Elephas maximus indicus: one gene and its partner. The protein of the gene in region 2 interacts with the protein of the main gene of each other region in a pairwise test. Links are inferred from orthologs where the notes say so. Each region holds a gene or a part of one and is shown on either strand. Other genes may lie near its edges.

The links.
Region 1: the proteins of EHHADH (region 2) and DES interact in binary tests that used the Homo sapiens proteins (3 or more experiments, as listed by UniProt). The two-hybrid records come from large-scale screens. The link is inferred for Elephas maximus indicus from reciprocal best matches to the Homo sapiens genes EHHADH and DES.

What each region holds. Positions count from the first base shown.
Region 1 is NC_064824.1:117,994,170-118,002,203, reverse strand, and holds the start of DES (desmin), read right to left. Parts: upstream 3,177-8,034; 5' UTR 3,102-3,176; coding exon 2,527-3,101; intron 1,426-2,526; coding exon 1,365-1,425; intron 1,241-1,364; coding exon 1,145-1,240; intron 1,026-1,144; coding exon 864-1,025; intron 692-863; coding exon 566-691; intron 137-565; coding exon 1-136. UniProt on the Homo sapiens protein: Muscle-specific type III intermediate filament essential for proper muscular structure and function.
Region 2 is NC_064819.1:29,837,418-29,844,583, reverse strand, and holds the start of EHHADH (peroxisomal bifunctional enzyme), read right to left. Parts: upstream 3,109-7,166; 5' UTR 3,051-3,108; coding exon 2,977-3,050; intron 1-2,976. UniProt on the Homo sapiens protein: Peroxisomal trifunctional enzyme possessing 2-enoyl-CoA hydratase, 3-hydroxyacyl-CoA dehydrogenase, and delta 3, delta 2-enoyl-CoA isomerase activities. Catalyzes two of the four reactions of the long chain fatty acids peroxisomal beta-oxidation pathway.

The DNA of each region.
Region 1 (8,034 bases), on a different chromosome or scaffold from region 2:
CGCGCAGGTGGCGGGCCATCTCATCCTTGAGGTGCCGGATCTCCTCCTCCAGCCGGGCAATGTTGTCCTGATAGCCGCTGGCCTCACTGGCAAAGCGGTCCTCCAGCTCCCGCATCTGCCTCATCAGAGAATCGTTCTGCAGGGGAGAGAGACTCAGGTCAAGGACAGGCTGTCTAGGGAGGAGGACACAAGGGGCCCAGGATGGAGAGAGACAGAATCTTGGGGCTTGTGCACCTCAAGGTGGTCAGGTCCAGGAGTCGTCAAATCCCTCTCAGCCAGGGAACCCTGAGCTCAAATGAAGTCTTACGTGGACATTCAGGGAATAGAACAGATTTAGGGAGAGCGTCTATGTTCAGAGTCCCCTTCTCAACAGAGGGAGACGCCCTCAGGAACCCTCTGATTCCTTAGAGCCCAGCTGGGAATCCACCTGTGTTAACCCCTGTCGTTGCAGACTTGAGGAAATGGGGGCTCAGAGATGGTAGTGATGGGCTCAAGGTCACGGAAAGGGAGGGCAGGAGCAGCAGGCAGGAAGGGGTTGGGCCAGGCAAAGTAGGAGGGGACTCACAGTGCCCTTGAGGGCGTCAATCTCGCAGGTGTAGGACTGGATCTGGTGTCGGTACTCCATCATCTCCTGCTTGGCCTGGCGCAGTGCGTCGTTGTTCTTGTTGGCTGCCTGGGTCAGGTCAGACACCTAAGGGCAGAGAGAGGGGTCCGGAGACGAGAAGGATGCAGGGGCACGTAGGGGTAGAGAATGTGGAGGCTCTGGGGCCACCTTCCTCCCCAGAGATGGAGCCAGCGGTGGCACCTCCAAACTGGGATGGAGGGGGACAGAGGTACCAGAGTCCCTGGGCCAGGCAACCCACCTTTGACTTGTACCACTCCTCAGCTTCAGAGATGTTCTTGGCTGCGATGGTCTCATACTGAGCCCGGATGTCCCTGAGGGCAGCGGTGAGGTCTGGCTTGGACATGTCCATCTCCACCTGGACCTGCTGCTCCTGAAGCTGGGCCTGCAGCTCACGAATCTCCTGCAGGGCGTGGCTAGGGTTCAGTCCCCCACCAGGCTCTCACACTGCCCAGCACCACCCCTACTTCCCACCTGCTTCCCGGTGGCCCAAGGAATTAGGACAGAGGGCCAAGGGCATACCTCTTCGTGCACTTTCTTGAGGAACGCTATCTCCTCGTTGAGAGACTCGATTCTGCGCTCCAGGTCAATGCGAGATAGAGTGGCTGCATCCACGTCCTGGGAGAGGCCGAGAACGGGGCAGTGTCACTGATCATCCAGGCAGGGTAGAAGGAGATAAGGGCCACAGCGGGAGGGACAGAGGGGGCAGGCTGGCATGGGAGGGGGCGTGAAGGGAGCTCACCGCTCGGAAGGCAGCCAAATTGTTCTCTGCTTCTTCTTTCAGCTGGATCTCCTCTTGCAGCCTGGCAGGGACAGACAGGCAGAAGGACAGACAGTCAGTGGGGGATAATGCAGGCGGGGGAGAGGACTGGCTGGAGGCTGCCCAGAGAGTGTACTCAGGACAGAGGGAGGAGGCCTGACTGCCGGGCAAGGAGACAGGAGGCTCAGAAGGAGAGTGGCAGAGGTGCTGCCCCACCCAGGGAGGGTGGGAGAGTGGCCCAATCTCTGCCCTGGGGCCACACCCTTGAAGTCTATGTCCTCACCAGACTGTGACCTCCCTGGGGTTAGGAACTGTGTCTATTTTATCCACCTCTTTGTTCCTGGTTGCCAGCCCTAGGCTGCCGCATGTAGGCGTTCAATTAATATTTGTGACCTGGGAGGCCAGGGGGTGATTCTGCTAGCTTGTCAGAGGCAGTGCCCTCAGTACCTGCTTCATAATTGCTGCCTTTTTGTCCTGGACCCTGGTGGGGCCTACCTCGCTGGTCTTCTCAAGTTTTCTTCTGGCTGCAGCCCCCTACCCACTTCCCCCTCCTCCCTCTGGTTTATCCCATGCACCTTGTGAAATGGCACAGCCTCATCCAGGCACAGGGGCCAGGCTCCCCTCCACCTCCTTCTCAAGGGCCCCATCACAAATGAGCTGAGAGCTCCTGCTTGGATTTCCTCCTACACTTTCCAGGGCAGCAGCTGCCCTGCCCAGCCTATCCTGGAGTTCTTGCCTCCCATCACCTCCCTTCTTCCTCAGCACTGCAGTACAGCCTCCTCCAGACCTCATCCACCTCTCTGCCTGACCCCATCAAGATCACCCTGGCACTTCAGATGCTTGTTCAAGGGGCTGCCCAACAGGGTGCCCAGGCTCGCAAAGTCTCCCTTGTCCACCCCATGATCTCCCCAAGAAAACTCATTTGCAGGGTGGGAGCAGAGGGGAGAGACCTGGGGCCCATAGGTAGGCGATGCTCTCCGCATGGGGCAGGAGAGGAGCCCCAGGGCCTGGGAGATGGTGTGTGCTGACAGTTGAGAACCCCCTTAAGTTGTCAACTCAACACCTATTACAGGATGGTTAATAACCCTTTCATGACTGCCCGCTTTACTCCCTCCCAGGCCTGCCTCAGGCGCGCTGCCCTCACTTGGCCTTGAGCCGCTGCAGGTCGTCGAGGAGGTTGTCGCGTTCGACGTCGACGCGCGCGCGCTGGTTGGTCAGCACCTCCACCTGGCGCCGCAGCTCGCGCAGCTCCTCCTCGTAGAGCTCGGCCACGCGCGTGGGTTCACGGCCCTTGAGCCGGTTCACTTCCGCCGCGAGCGCCGCGTTCTGCTGCTCCAGGAAGCGCACTTTCTCGATGTAGTTGGCGAAGCGGTCATTGAGCTCCTGCAGCTCCACCTTCTCGTTGGTGCGCGTGGTCAGGAACTCCTGGTTGACGGCGTCGGCCAGCGAGAAGTCCAGCAGCTCCCCCGCACCGTACGAGGGGGTCCGGCTCGCGCCCACCCGGCTGGCCCGCAGCGACCCCAGCCCCCCAGCCCCGCCCGACGTGCGCGACACCTGGTAGACGCGCGACGTCACCGAGCTCGAGGAGCCCTTGGTGCCGAAGCCCGCGCGCGGGAACACGGGCGAGCTCAGCGGGGAGCCGAGCGGGAAGGCCGACCCGCCGCCGAAGGTGCGGCGGTAGGAAGACACGCGCTGGCTGGAGGAGTAGGCCTGGCTCATGGTAGCGGCGGGCTGCGAGGCTGGGAGGCTGCCGGAGAGTGGCTGCGGCGAGGGGAGACAGGGCCCCCGGCCTTCCGCACTATTTGTATCCCTCCTGACATCAGTCCCCGCGCCCCTCCCCTGACAGCTGCAGGATCCCGCTGTCCTGCCAGGAAAGGGCGGCTGCTGGCCGTGGGGGCGGGGAGGCCAGCTCCCCCGCAGAGGCCTGCGCCCCCAGCTGGCTGGCTGGGGGGGGGCCTGTGAGGGGTGCGCGAGAGAGGCCCATCCACCCAGGAGGGCCAAAGGTAGCAGGCCTGCCTGCCGGTGCCTCACCAGCACGGCCTGGCTGGAACCGCCAGGGGGGCCCCTGTCAGCCCTCCAGTGCCTGCCTTGCCTTGGGGGTGGTCAGGGGAGAACCCTGGGTGGAGTCTACCATTTAGTTTGAGGGTCCCATTTTGCTCTAAGGAGAGACTTGGGGTCATTTCCTGAAGGGACAAGGCCTGTTCCCATGAAAGGCCCCAGACTACTTTATTTCTAAAGATTAGCAAGAAGTTGCAGAGAGAGGTTTGGGAGGGCTCAGGCAAAGAACAGGGGTCTACCAGGAAGGCCCTGTGTTTGGGGGTCTCTAGGCAGGGAGGTTGGGAGGGTGTTGAGCCAGCAGAGAGCCATGCTCCCAGAAAGCCTAATAGGAACCTCAGCCCTGCCTGCCCACTTATGTCCACTGGCACCTGGGTTCTAGCACTAGGCCTCAGTTTCCCACTGAACTGGTGTATACCACCACATACACAACACACAACATCCATGGATGAGGGCGGGGCCTCAAGGTTATAAACAACAGGATGCTTTCCAGAAGGAGGGTCTGGTGTGCTTTCAGTTCCCAGTTTGTATGTATACTCCCACCCCCACACCACTAACTTCCCTGGCTCCTGTCTCCTTGGGTGCCCCCCAGCCCCCTCTCTGATTCATCCCCCTACTCACACCACCCACACCCACACACACCAGGGATTTGTGTTTTGTCAGGAGCTGCATGTCAACCCAGCCATCTCCCTGGCAGCAACAGCTGCCAACCCAAAATACCAGAGCTGGTATTTATAGAGGAGAATGCATCCGTCCGGGAAACAAGCACACAGAAGGGGAGCAAGCTGGGGGTGGGGGCTGGCTACCTGAGGTGGCATGGGTGTCAGAGTGGTCGAGGGAAGGCTTGGGGTGCCAGGGCCCAATCACTTCCGGCTCCCTTCTCTTAATGCCCCAGGCCCCAGCGGGCAGGGAGTCCCAAAGAGTGTGGCCATTACTTCATAACCCCCTCAGTACAAGGTGTTCCCTGACCCTTAGGGATGCCCACACTTCTCCAGGAACACTGGCTGTGTCTCTGCACCTCCACCTGGCACACTACAGGCCCCTCTTAGGACTGACCCTTTTGGAATGCAAACCGTGGAAACAGAGCACTGGATTGGGAGCCCATAGCTGGTCCTACCCCAACTCTGCCATCACCAACAAGTGAAGTCCTTCACTTTCCTAAGCCTCAGTGTCCTCATCTATTAAATGAGGATGGTCAGCTTTACCATTCCTATCTTATGGGGCTTTAGAGGTTCAGGTAATGATAATGCAAATAATAACATGTACTGAGCACCTGGAGTCCCCGGGTAATGCAAACATTTAAGGCATTTGGCTACTAACTGAAAAGTTGGAGAGTCGAGTCTAACCGGAGGCACCTGGAAAGGCCTGGCAATCTACTTCGGAAAAATCAGCCATTAAAAACCCTATGGAGCACAGTTCTACTCTGACACACACAGGGTCACCATGAGTTGGGATCAACTCCATGGTATCTGGTTGCTGGTTATTGAACACCTACTGTGTGCCACTCTGCTAAGTGCTCGACATACCCACGGTCCCCAAGTCTCCAACAACCCTATGAGGTAGGAACTAGTATCATTCCTACTTTATAGCTGAGGAAGCTGAGAGAGTCTGACTCCAGGGTGGTGCTTTGCCCTTGGGGCAGTTGTGAATGTCCTAGATGAACTGTAAGGGCGTCATTATTGTCGTCTTTTTAAAGTCCTTTCTCATTAAGTGTCTAATTTTTATCCATGAGACAAGCTTATGAGGTGGGTGGGGAGTTCCAAATATTCTTATCCAGTCTTCGAGCTGTTATGTTCTGGTTATGTTTGTGTCTCATCTCCCAAACTAGATCCTATGCTCCTGGAGGATCTTGGAGGCTGCCTGGATCCTTAACACATCCCAGGCAGCAGAGTCATTGTCGTTCAAAGTAGCCTGAAAGTTTTCTTTATCATCTACTTATTTTGGGAACAAATGCTGTACCCCTTTCTTCCCCCAACAGGACTGGCCATGTGACTCAGATCCCAGTTAGTCTTATTACTGCATCTCTCTGACTTCAGCGATTGGCTCAAGGGATGGGCCTGGGCCTGAGCAGAGCCAATCAGAGACCTTCCCTGGAATTTATAGATGGAATTGGGACTTCTAAACTGGAGCCTGCATCAGCCATGTTTCCTGCTCCCTGGGGAGACCTTTCTGCAGTAGGAGGAAAGAGAGGTCAACATACAAGGAGAAGCAGAGACACCTGGAGAAGGTGAGAAAACCGGAGCAGGAAGTCCTCAATTCCAGCCCCTGGGCCTCTGGTTCCTGCAGCTCTTCCCTTGATTCCGGGAGTTTCCCAGCATCCTTCTTGGCTTTGGGGCCAAAAAACTCTCCTTTTTTTTTCCTTAAGGTCCTTTGTGCTGGGTTTCTGTTACTTGCAGCCAAAAGAATCCTGACTAATCTACTTTTGGAGACGGTACACCCATTTCCAAGGAGCCCTGAGATGACTCAGTGATTAAGTGCAGGACTGGTAACTGAAAGGTCAGCGGTTCGAACCTACCAGCCACTCCTTGGGAGAAAGATGTGGTAATCTGCTTCTGTAAAGATTACAGCCTTGGAAACCCTATGGGGCAGTTGTACTCTGTCCTACAGGGTCAATAGGAGTTGGAATCTACAGGACAGCAATGGGTTATACCCACTTCCATGATGCTTCGGAGGGCAGAACATTTCTGGGGCTCCTTTCTGTGAATGGTCCCCAGACCATATGAGGAAATTGGCCTTCAGACCAGCCCAAAGCTGGTTCCTTGGTAAAATGAGACAGAAAAAAAAATACATAAACAATGCCATTTATTCTCTAGTCAAAATAAACATCTAGCGACTTGGCTCCAAACCACTTGGGGCTCCTTCCAAAACTCAGTTCCACCCCTAGGATTTGCTACCATGGAGGGCAGCAAAACACCACCCCCAGGCTTGGAAAGCAGGTGAAAGAGGAGCCTCCAAAACATGTCCTAAGCTGGGCAGCATCGCTGGAATAACAGCCTCCTAAGGGGACTACTTAGAATTGGACATGCTAAAAATAATAATAATTTATCTGGTTGGGTAAAGTACATGATAAAAAATTCAAGAGGCACAAAAAGGTATAAAGTGAAAAGTGAGTTTCCCTCCCACTCTTGACACCCAGCCACACCTCTCTTCAAAGACAATAGTTTGGGTTGTTTGGTTTTTTTCCTTCTTCCAGAGATAGTTTATGCATAAACAAACATGTTATATATAAAACACCCCTTCTCACTTTTTTTTTTTTTTAACACTTACACACTATTCTGAGCTAAGGTTTTAATATATACCTTGAAGATTGTTCCATTTTAGTGCAATGACAGTTGAGTCATTCTTTTTAATATGTTCATTTATATTTCACTGTATAGATTTGCCATAATTTATTTGGCCAGTTCCTTACTGAGAGGTATTTATGTTGTTTCCAGTCTTTTGCGATTATAAACAACACTGCTGTGAACATCCTCGGGACACACTTTTGGATATATAAATGTTAGTAAGTTATTTCTGTTGTTTATTTTAATAGAACAGTAACATTATTTTGTGATCGTATCTCTTACTTTAGCAATTGATACTAGAAATGGGAAGGTTCGCTGAGACAGACCCTTTCATTCAGTGTTTGTCAGAAAACGGTACAATGTATAAATTTGTATGTGTGGCATGGTACCCTGCACAGTGGGCGTCCTCAAGAAATTTTGTGGAATTAAGGAAGGAAGTTGGTCCTGCTCTCTGCTAGAAATTTTCCCAGATTACCTGGACCTTATAGAGTCTTAGAAGCTTGAGGTTGTACGTAACATCACAGGTCGTGGAGGTTGACCAGTCCCATGCTCCCACCTCTCTGTTAAGGGACTCCAGCAAGCACTTGTCCAGCTTGGAACCTTCTAGTACCTGGGAACTTGCTGTCTCAAGGCAGCCCACTCCATTCCACAGGGAATCATTGAGGCCTAACATGTCTCCATCGAGGGACAGTGGACAGCTCTGCTGGCAGAAAATGTGTCCGTATATTTGAAGCCCTGAGGTAGTTAGTTCAGGGAAGGGAGAGAAGCTGGGAATGGTAGAACAGGTGACATTTCCAAAAGGTATGAGTTCTACCCTCCACCAAGAGCCAAAGCTGATGACCCAAGCATGGCAGTAGGGGTGGGGTGGGGTGGTCAACCAGAGGCCATTTAGGATCTGGGTGCTCATACTAGGGCTTCACTGACTAACCATCTATGCAAGTCTCATTTCCTCTCTGGCCCTGAAGTGACCCAGGAATAAAAGAAGGGACCAGGCCGGGTCATCTCCAAGGTCCCCTCAGGTTTGATGTTCTGGGCCGAGTGATGGGAACAGTGAGCCCTTCCTGGGGACTCACTCCCTGGTATCCCTCTGCCTCCCTGCTCCCAGAGCCCCTCCCCCAAGCAGCATCTCCCAAGCTCCCCCAGCATCTACCTTCCCCTCAGCTGTAGCAGCTGCTAAACCTCCACAGGCCACAGAGGCGCCTTGAGTGACTGTAAAAGGGAAGGAATGTCTTCCTGATATCACGAGGGAGGCTGGAGAATTGGGGGGCCCAGCAGGAACTGTGGCACGTCAGGATTCTCCCTGAAACTCATCC
Region 2 (7,166 bases):
GCCACTATGAAGAAGATGTTGGCTTTTTCCATTTCAACCAACCCCTCCTCTTTTATTTCTTATTTCCTTGTTCATTTTGCAAAAACTCAAAAAGAGGAAGTGAGAAAAACTAAAATGGCTGTAACTGATACAGCTTTATTGAATTCAAGCCAGCTGGAAGGGACCACAGCCTTGCAGCAATGTAAAGATCCCCAGGGTGAAGGACTCATTTTCTTCCCTCGATCCTGTCAGGTGAAATGGAGTCTGGAGTCACGTGTGCTGTGACCAAAACCCTTTAGCTTCTGTGACCACAGGAGGTCTTTTTTAGATAGTATTTTGTCTTGCTTTTAAACTGAAGGTCACCACATCGAGTCTGTGGCCTGTGACTGGCACTGAAAAAAGAGAGAAAATAGACTAAACTATATCAAACTGTATAATATGGAAGGGTTAGTTTTGTTTCCAGAAACTTTGGTTTTAGCCATGTATTTGTATGTATGCATGGCCTGGGTTGTAATGTAAAACTTGGGTTACTATGCGGGTCAGTCAAAAAAGTGTGCAAGCCATTGCTCTGTGAGACAGTGGTTAAGAGCTATGGCTGCTCCACCAGACTGAGTCCAGTACAACTAGATGGTGCCTGGCTACCACCACTGACTGCTCCGACAGGAACCACAAGAGAGGGTCCCCGACAGAGCTGGAGAAAAATGTAGAACAAAATTCCAACTCAAAAAGAAAAGCCAGACTTGCTGGCCTGACATAGACTGGAGAAACCCTGAGAGTATGGCCCCCGGACACCTTTTCAGCTCAGTAATGCTGCGGTCACTCCCGAGGTTCGTCCTTCAGCCAAAAGATTGGACAGGCCCATGGAACAAAACAAGACTAAAGGGGCGCACCAGCCCTGGGGCAGGAACTAGAAGGCAGGAGGAACAGAAAAGCTGGTAACAGGGAACCCAGGGCTCAGAAGGGAGAGTGTTGACATGTTGTGGGGCTGTTAACCAATGTCATACAACAATGTGTGTACTAATTGTTTGATGAGAAATTAGTTCTATAAACCTTCATCTAAAGTTCAATAAAAAAAGAAAAAGAAAAAGAATGATTGCAATTGGAACAACACCAAAAATAGAGCTACAGCCGCTAAACAAAAGTTGGCAGTTCGAATCCACCAGGCACTCCTTGGAAACTCTATGGGGCAGTTCTGCTTTGTCCTATTGGGTCACTAGGAGCTGGAATTGACTTGATGGGTTTGGTTTTTTTGAGTGTGGTGTGGTTCTCCAGGAGTCCCCGGGTGGTGCAAATGGTTAAAATGTCCAGCTGCTAACTGAAAGGTTGGTTGGAGGCTGGAGTCCACCCAGAGGCATCTCCGAAAAATGGCATAGTGATCTACTTCTGCAAAGTCAGCACAGTTTTACTCTGACACACACAGGGTTGCCGTGAGTCAAAGTCTACTCCACAGTAACTGGTTTGGTTTTTTGCATGGTGCTCTGTTTTCCATCCCCCTGCCAAGGCGTCCTGGGAGCCACATGTTGAGATGGTATCCTCCAAAGATTAAAGTAGCTTGGATTGCTGTGTCACTGCAAGGGGGGCAGCTACCCTGCAAAGTCACCCCAACCAGCCTTTGTAGTGTAAAACCAAAAAAGCCCGTGGCCACAGACTCAGTTCTGACTCATAAGGACCCTACAGGACAGAGCAGAGTTCCCAAGGAGTACCCGGTAGATTCCAACTGCCAACCTTTCGGTTAGCAGCCATAGCTCTTAACCACTATGCCACCAGGGTTTCCCTTGATTGGCACAGTTTCCCATTATGAGCAGAGGTGTGGCAGAGAGTCCTAACGTCTGGTAATTCTAACCAGAACACAGACAAGTCCAAAACTGATACATAATCCTATTACTTGGGGTTTTTTCATCCAAAGCAAGAAACTTGACGTACTGTTCTTTTCAATCAAGCGGACATATTGTCCTTGTGGGAGTGGTTCCTGCGATTTTTTTTTTTTGTATTATTAAATGCAAGCATTCACACTATAATATGAACTATAACAGTAACATTAAAGATGGAATCAAATCTGATAACAGAAGAATAAACAATGCAGTTAAAATTAGCAGGCTTCCTCATTTCAGTCTCTCTTTGCTTCAGTAGTCTACAGTTAAGAATTCTGATCAAAGGCCCTTGTATAACATGATTATTTATGCTAATTTCCTCTAATCCCGCTTCCTGTGGATGGGTGGCTTTTCTTAAGGCTAAAGTGTCACCATACTTTTTTTTTGCAGAGATATGGAAGGACCAAACCTGTACCATAAAGTCATTAATTTTCAAAAAGGCAGCATTACTCTCACTTTTAAAAGTAATTCTGCAAGTGTTCTGCACAAATCTCGGTTAGAGAGTTTAACAAAGAAGTTACCACGTGATGAAATAAAAGGTGATAAACTGCACAGTAGCTTTTCAGAAAATGCCATTTGAGGGTTTATTCTGACATGGACCTTTCACAGAAGCATTAAGGCCCTGTGGTTTGGAGCAGATCAGCTCATGCTCCCTGCCTTCTCATGAACTGGGGCCTTGTGTTGTTGTTAGTTGCCAGTCCAACCCACTCTGACTCAAGGCGACTGTAAACCATTTTATTTTCTGAGTTCTAAAACTCTTAGCTACATGTTTTAAGGGCAGCCTGGATTTCAGGCTGGGGAGTGAGGGTCCAGGGCCCAGGACTGTACTGAACCAAGATCTTTGGAATAGAAACTACTGAAGACCCAAAGCTGTGAGCTAGCAGAAGGGTCTTGCATGAAGTTGGCGTGGACAGAGCCGGTTCGAGTCCCTTTCTCCTACTTAGTAGCTACACCCCTCAGCCTCGGTTTCCTTACCAGTCAAACCGAGATGAGCGTTCTCTGCGAAGAGTCCCCAAACCAACCCCTGTAAAAACGTCCCCGCAGATGCCTGGGGTTCAGTCGGTGTCAGTTTCTGGATTTAAACCAGCACCGAGCGGGGGGCCGGTGAACCTGCCAGGTCTGTTACCTGATGGCGTTGACCGGCGGGTTTCGCAGGCGGATCCGCGCCACGTAGTCCCGCACTCGCGTATACTCGACCATTGCCCCTCTGTCGCCGAGGTCACTTCTGCCTCCGACTGCCGGCCGAAGCCTCTCTCCCCGGGCCGGGCCGCCCTGCGAGGAGGGGCGCCGCTGAGCCAATGAGAGCCGGGCGCCGCCCCCGAGCGCCCGGACCGCCTGCCGGCTGGCCCCGGGCCGGCACCCGGTCTTCCCAGCCCGCCCTCCATTTTCCTGCGGTCCGCGAGGACCCGCGCCGCCCATCCCGGCCCGACTGCACCCGGGCCCGCACCCCATCTTCCCACCCAGCTCGACTGCACCGAGGCCGCACCCCTTCTTCCCTCCTGGCCCGAATGCACCTGGGCCGCACCCTATGTTTCCACCGAGCCCTCTCCATTCCCGGGACCCCACCCTGCGCTCTACAAACACTTGCCATCTCTTCCTCTCTGTGGTTGCCCATCCTGCTCCCATCTTCCTCCCATCACAAAGCAGTCCAAAGGGGGCTGGGGAAAACCGGTGGAATTACAGGGAGTGGAGGTTTGTGACACTCAGAGGGGCTGACTTCGGAGGACAAAGTCTGGGCTCACTAAGCTGGCCAAGCTGTCCTCTGAAGAGTTTTCATGATCCTTCTGAAAGGGGGTAGATATCTGAGGCCCTTGACAATTGTGTGAAATGGCACACACCTGGAACACAAGCATCACAAGTTTGACCTAAGGAGTAGGGTACTAACATCAGCCAAACATTTACCTAAAAATCCTGTTACTAGTCCTAGGTTCACATGGCAATCAGTGAAACCCATGAGTTTGTCTGCCCAATCCTTTGTCTTTTAAAAATTCTGACATTCTGAAGGATTGTGACTTCTAATATTTCACTTATTCAGAAGTTGAACACATACTATAAATGGTTAAGAGCTAGGGCTGCTAACCCAAAGGTCAGCGGTTCCAGTCCACCAGCCCCTCCTTGGATAGTTCTTCTCTGTCCTATAGGGTTGTTATGAGTTGGAATAAACTCAATGACAAAGAGTTTGGTTTTTTTAAGTGTAGGCTGGAGACTGTAAAAATAAACCAGGCTTAGTCCCTTCCCTCCAGAAGTGAGGACCAGGTTTCTCTAAGCATGATTAGCCTCCAGTAGAACCCACCCTCCATGAAGTGATCAGAAGGCAGCCTGAAAGTTTCAGAGGAAAAAAACAGTGGAATAGCTTTGTTCACTGATGTTTCACAAATTTTAACTATGATTAAGGGTTATTTTCATTGCTTTGAACCCTGGTAATAAGTAGCAAAACCCATTCAATAGATCAAGGGCAATTGCCTCAATGAACCCACTTTTGAAAGCCAACCTGTCAATGACAGCCCCTCACTTTCATAGCCAGCCAATCACAAACCATACAATACTCACACTTCCGAGGGCCACCAATCAACAACAGGCTCATTTAAGCAACCAACTTCTACAAGTGATGTCAACCCTAAAAAAAAACCCTAAATGCCTCTGGAAATTCCCCAGTCTCTGAAGTCCATGTTGCCCAAAAGCTGTATGTAAAATCTACAGTCTGTTCTGCTTAGAGAGATTGTACCTAACCAGCATAACGTTCCCCTACTGTGTTGTTGTTTGCAGAAAAGCTGGCCCCAACTCATGGCAACCCCATGCACAATGGTAACAGACCGTTGCGATCCATAGGGTTTTCACTGGCTAATATTCAGGAGCAGATCCCCAGGCCTTTCTTCCTAGCCTTAGTCTGGGAGCTCCACTGAAACCTGTTCAGCATCATAGCAACACACAAGCCTCCACTGACAGAAGGGTGCTGGCTATGCTTGAGAAGCATTGGCTGGGACTCGAACTGGAACCTGGAAGGTGAGAATTCTACCACTGAACCATACTGCCCCCTTTTATTACTAAAAAATTCATTGCTATCAAGTTAATTCTGACTTATAGCAACCCTATAGGGTTTCAAAGGCTGTAAATCTTTACAGAAGCAGACTGCCACATCTTTCTTCTATGAAGCAATTGGTGAGTTTGAACTCTGACCTTTTGGGTAGCAGCAGAGTGCTTAACCATTGTGCCACCAGGGCTCCTTCTATTACTATTACCCATTGCTGTTGAGTCAATTCTAAGTCATAAGTGATCCTACAGGACACAGTAGAACTGCCCCATAGGGTTTCTGAGGAGCAGCTGGTGGATTCGAACCGCTGATCTTTTGGTTATGCAAATCTGTATGCATACTAAAAAGAACAGAGATAACTATCTAATCTTGCTTTTCCCTGCACTGGTGATCTATGAACCTTGAAATGCCGTGTTTGTCATGAAAATTCAGTAGTGGCATGAAGCCATGGAAGCTGACTTCTCTGGTAAACCAGTCAGAAATTTTCTAGAATAAGGACAAGACAATGCTTTCCAGCCTGGGTGATAAAATCTCTTCCATGCTTTCTTCCATGTACTTTCCCATTTCACTCTGGGATATCCACCCACCCACCTGATGCCATGAGTCAATTCTAACTTATAACAACCCTATAGAACAGAGTAGAACTGCCCCATAGGGTTTCCAAGGAACGCCTGGTGGATTCAAACTGCTGACCTCTTGGTTAGCAGTCTGAGCTCTTAACCACTATGCCACCAAGGTTTCTGTCTTAACTAATACACTGAAGAAATGGGCAGTGAGTACAAAATTGTTCTTCCATAGTGAAGTTGGCTGCCATTTGAAGAGGAAAGCTTCTCACATAAGTGTGTGAGATGAGAGATGGGATAAAAATAATTTGTTCACTACACCAGTAATATCAACAATGGTGAGTTCTATAATTTCAAGTGGCTTGCTCAAGTGTTAAACCTTAAACATATGTTATGGATTGAATTGCATTCCCCCAAAATATGTGTCAACTTGGCTAGGGCATGATTCCCAGTATTGTGTGGTTGTCTACCATTTTATGATTTGATGTGATTTTCCTATGTGTTGTAAATCCTATGATGTTAATGAGGCAGGATTAGAGGCAGTCTTGAGTCGATCTCTTTTGAGATATAAAAGAAAGAAGCGAGCAGAGAAGAGAGGGACTTCGTACCACCATGTAAGAAGTGCCAGGAACAGAGTGTGTCCTTTGGACCCAGGGTCCCTGTGCTGAGAGATTCTTAGACCAGGGGAAGATTGATGACAAGGAACTTCCCGCAGAGCTGACAGAGAGAGAAAGCATCCCCCTGGAGTTGGTGCCCTGAATATGGACTTCTAGCCTCCCACACTGTGAGAGAATAAATATCTATTTGTTAAAGCCATCCACTTGTGGTATTTCTGTTGCAGCAGCACTTGATGACTAAGATGGAATTTGGTACCGAGAGTGGGGTGCTGCTCTAACAGATACCTAAAACGTGGAAGTGGTTTTGAAACTGTGAATGGGTAGAGGCTGCAAGAGATCTAAAATGTTTAATAGTAAAAGCCTAGATTGCCTTGAGGAGACTGTTGGTGGAATTATGGACATCAAAGAAAATTCTGGTGAGGACTCAAAAAGAAATGATGAGAGCTGTAACACCAGAGAACTCACAGATGAAGCAGCAGCAGAGAAACAGTGGCAGCACGACCAGGAGACTGGCACGAAACAGCACTGGAGCCAACCCATTCAGTCTGGATTCCTGACCGACTACAATGAGCAGACCCTCTCTGCAGACCCACAGTAGTCTTGTAGCAAGAGCAAGAAATTAATCCAAGTTTTTTTTTTTTTAATTTTTATTGTACTTTAAGTGAAAGTTTACAAATCAAGTCAGTCTCTCACACAAAAACTTATATACAGGGGGCCAAGATGGCTGACTAGGTAGACGCTACCTCAGATCCCTCTTGCAACAAAGACTCGGAAAAACAAGTGAATTGATCACATATATGACAATCTACGAACCCTGACCAACAAACACAGATTTAAAGAGTTGACCTGAGTGACAGAGACTGAGAACGAACAACCACGAGGAAGCAGCGACTGTTTTCGGAGCCTGAAGCCAGCGTCCCAGTCAGGAAACCTTGGCCCTGGGCTTTGGACCAGGCATAGGGGAGCTGAGCATGGCATCCTGAGATGGCACAATCACGGGGTGCAGCCCTAACCCCCTGAACTGACCTCAGGGGAAGCCCAGCCAGTGCACGCAGGCAGCGCAGCAACATGGCTGACAGGAGGAGAAGTCACCGGGAGGCAGTGA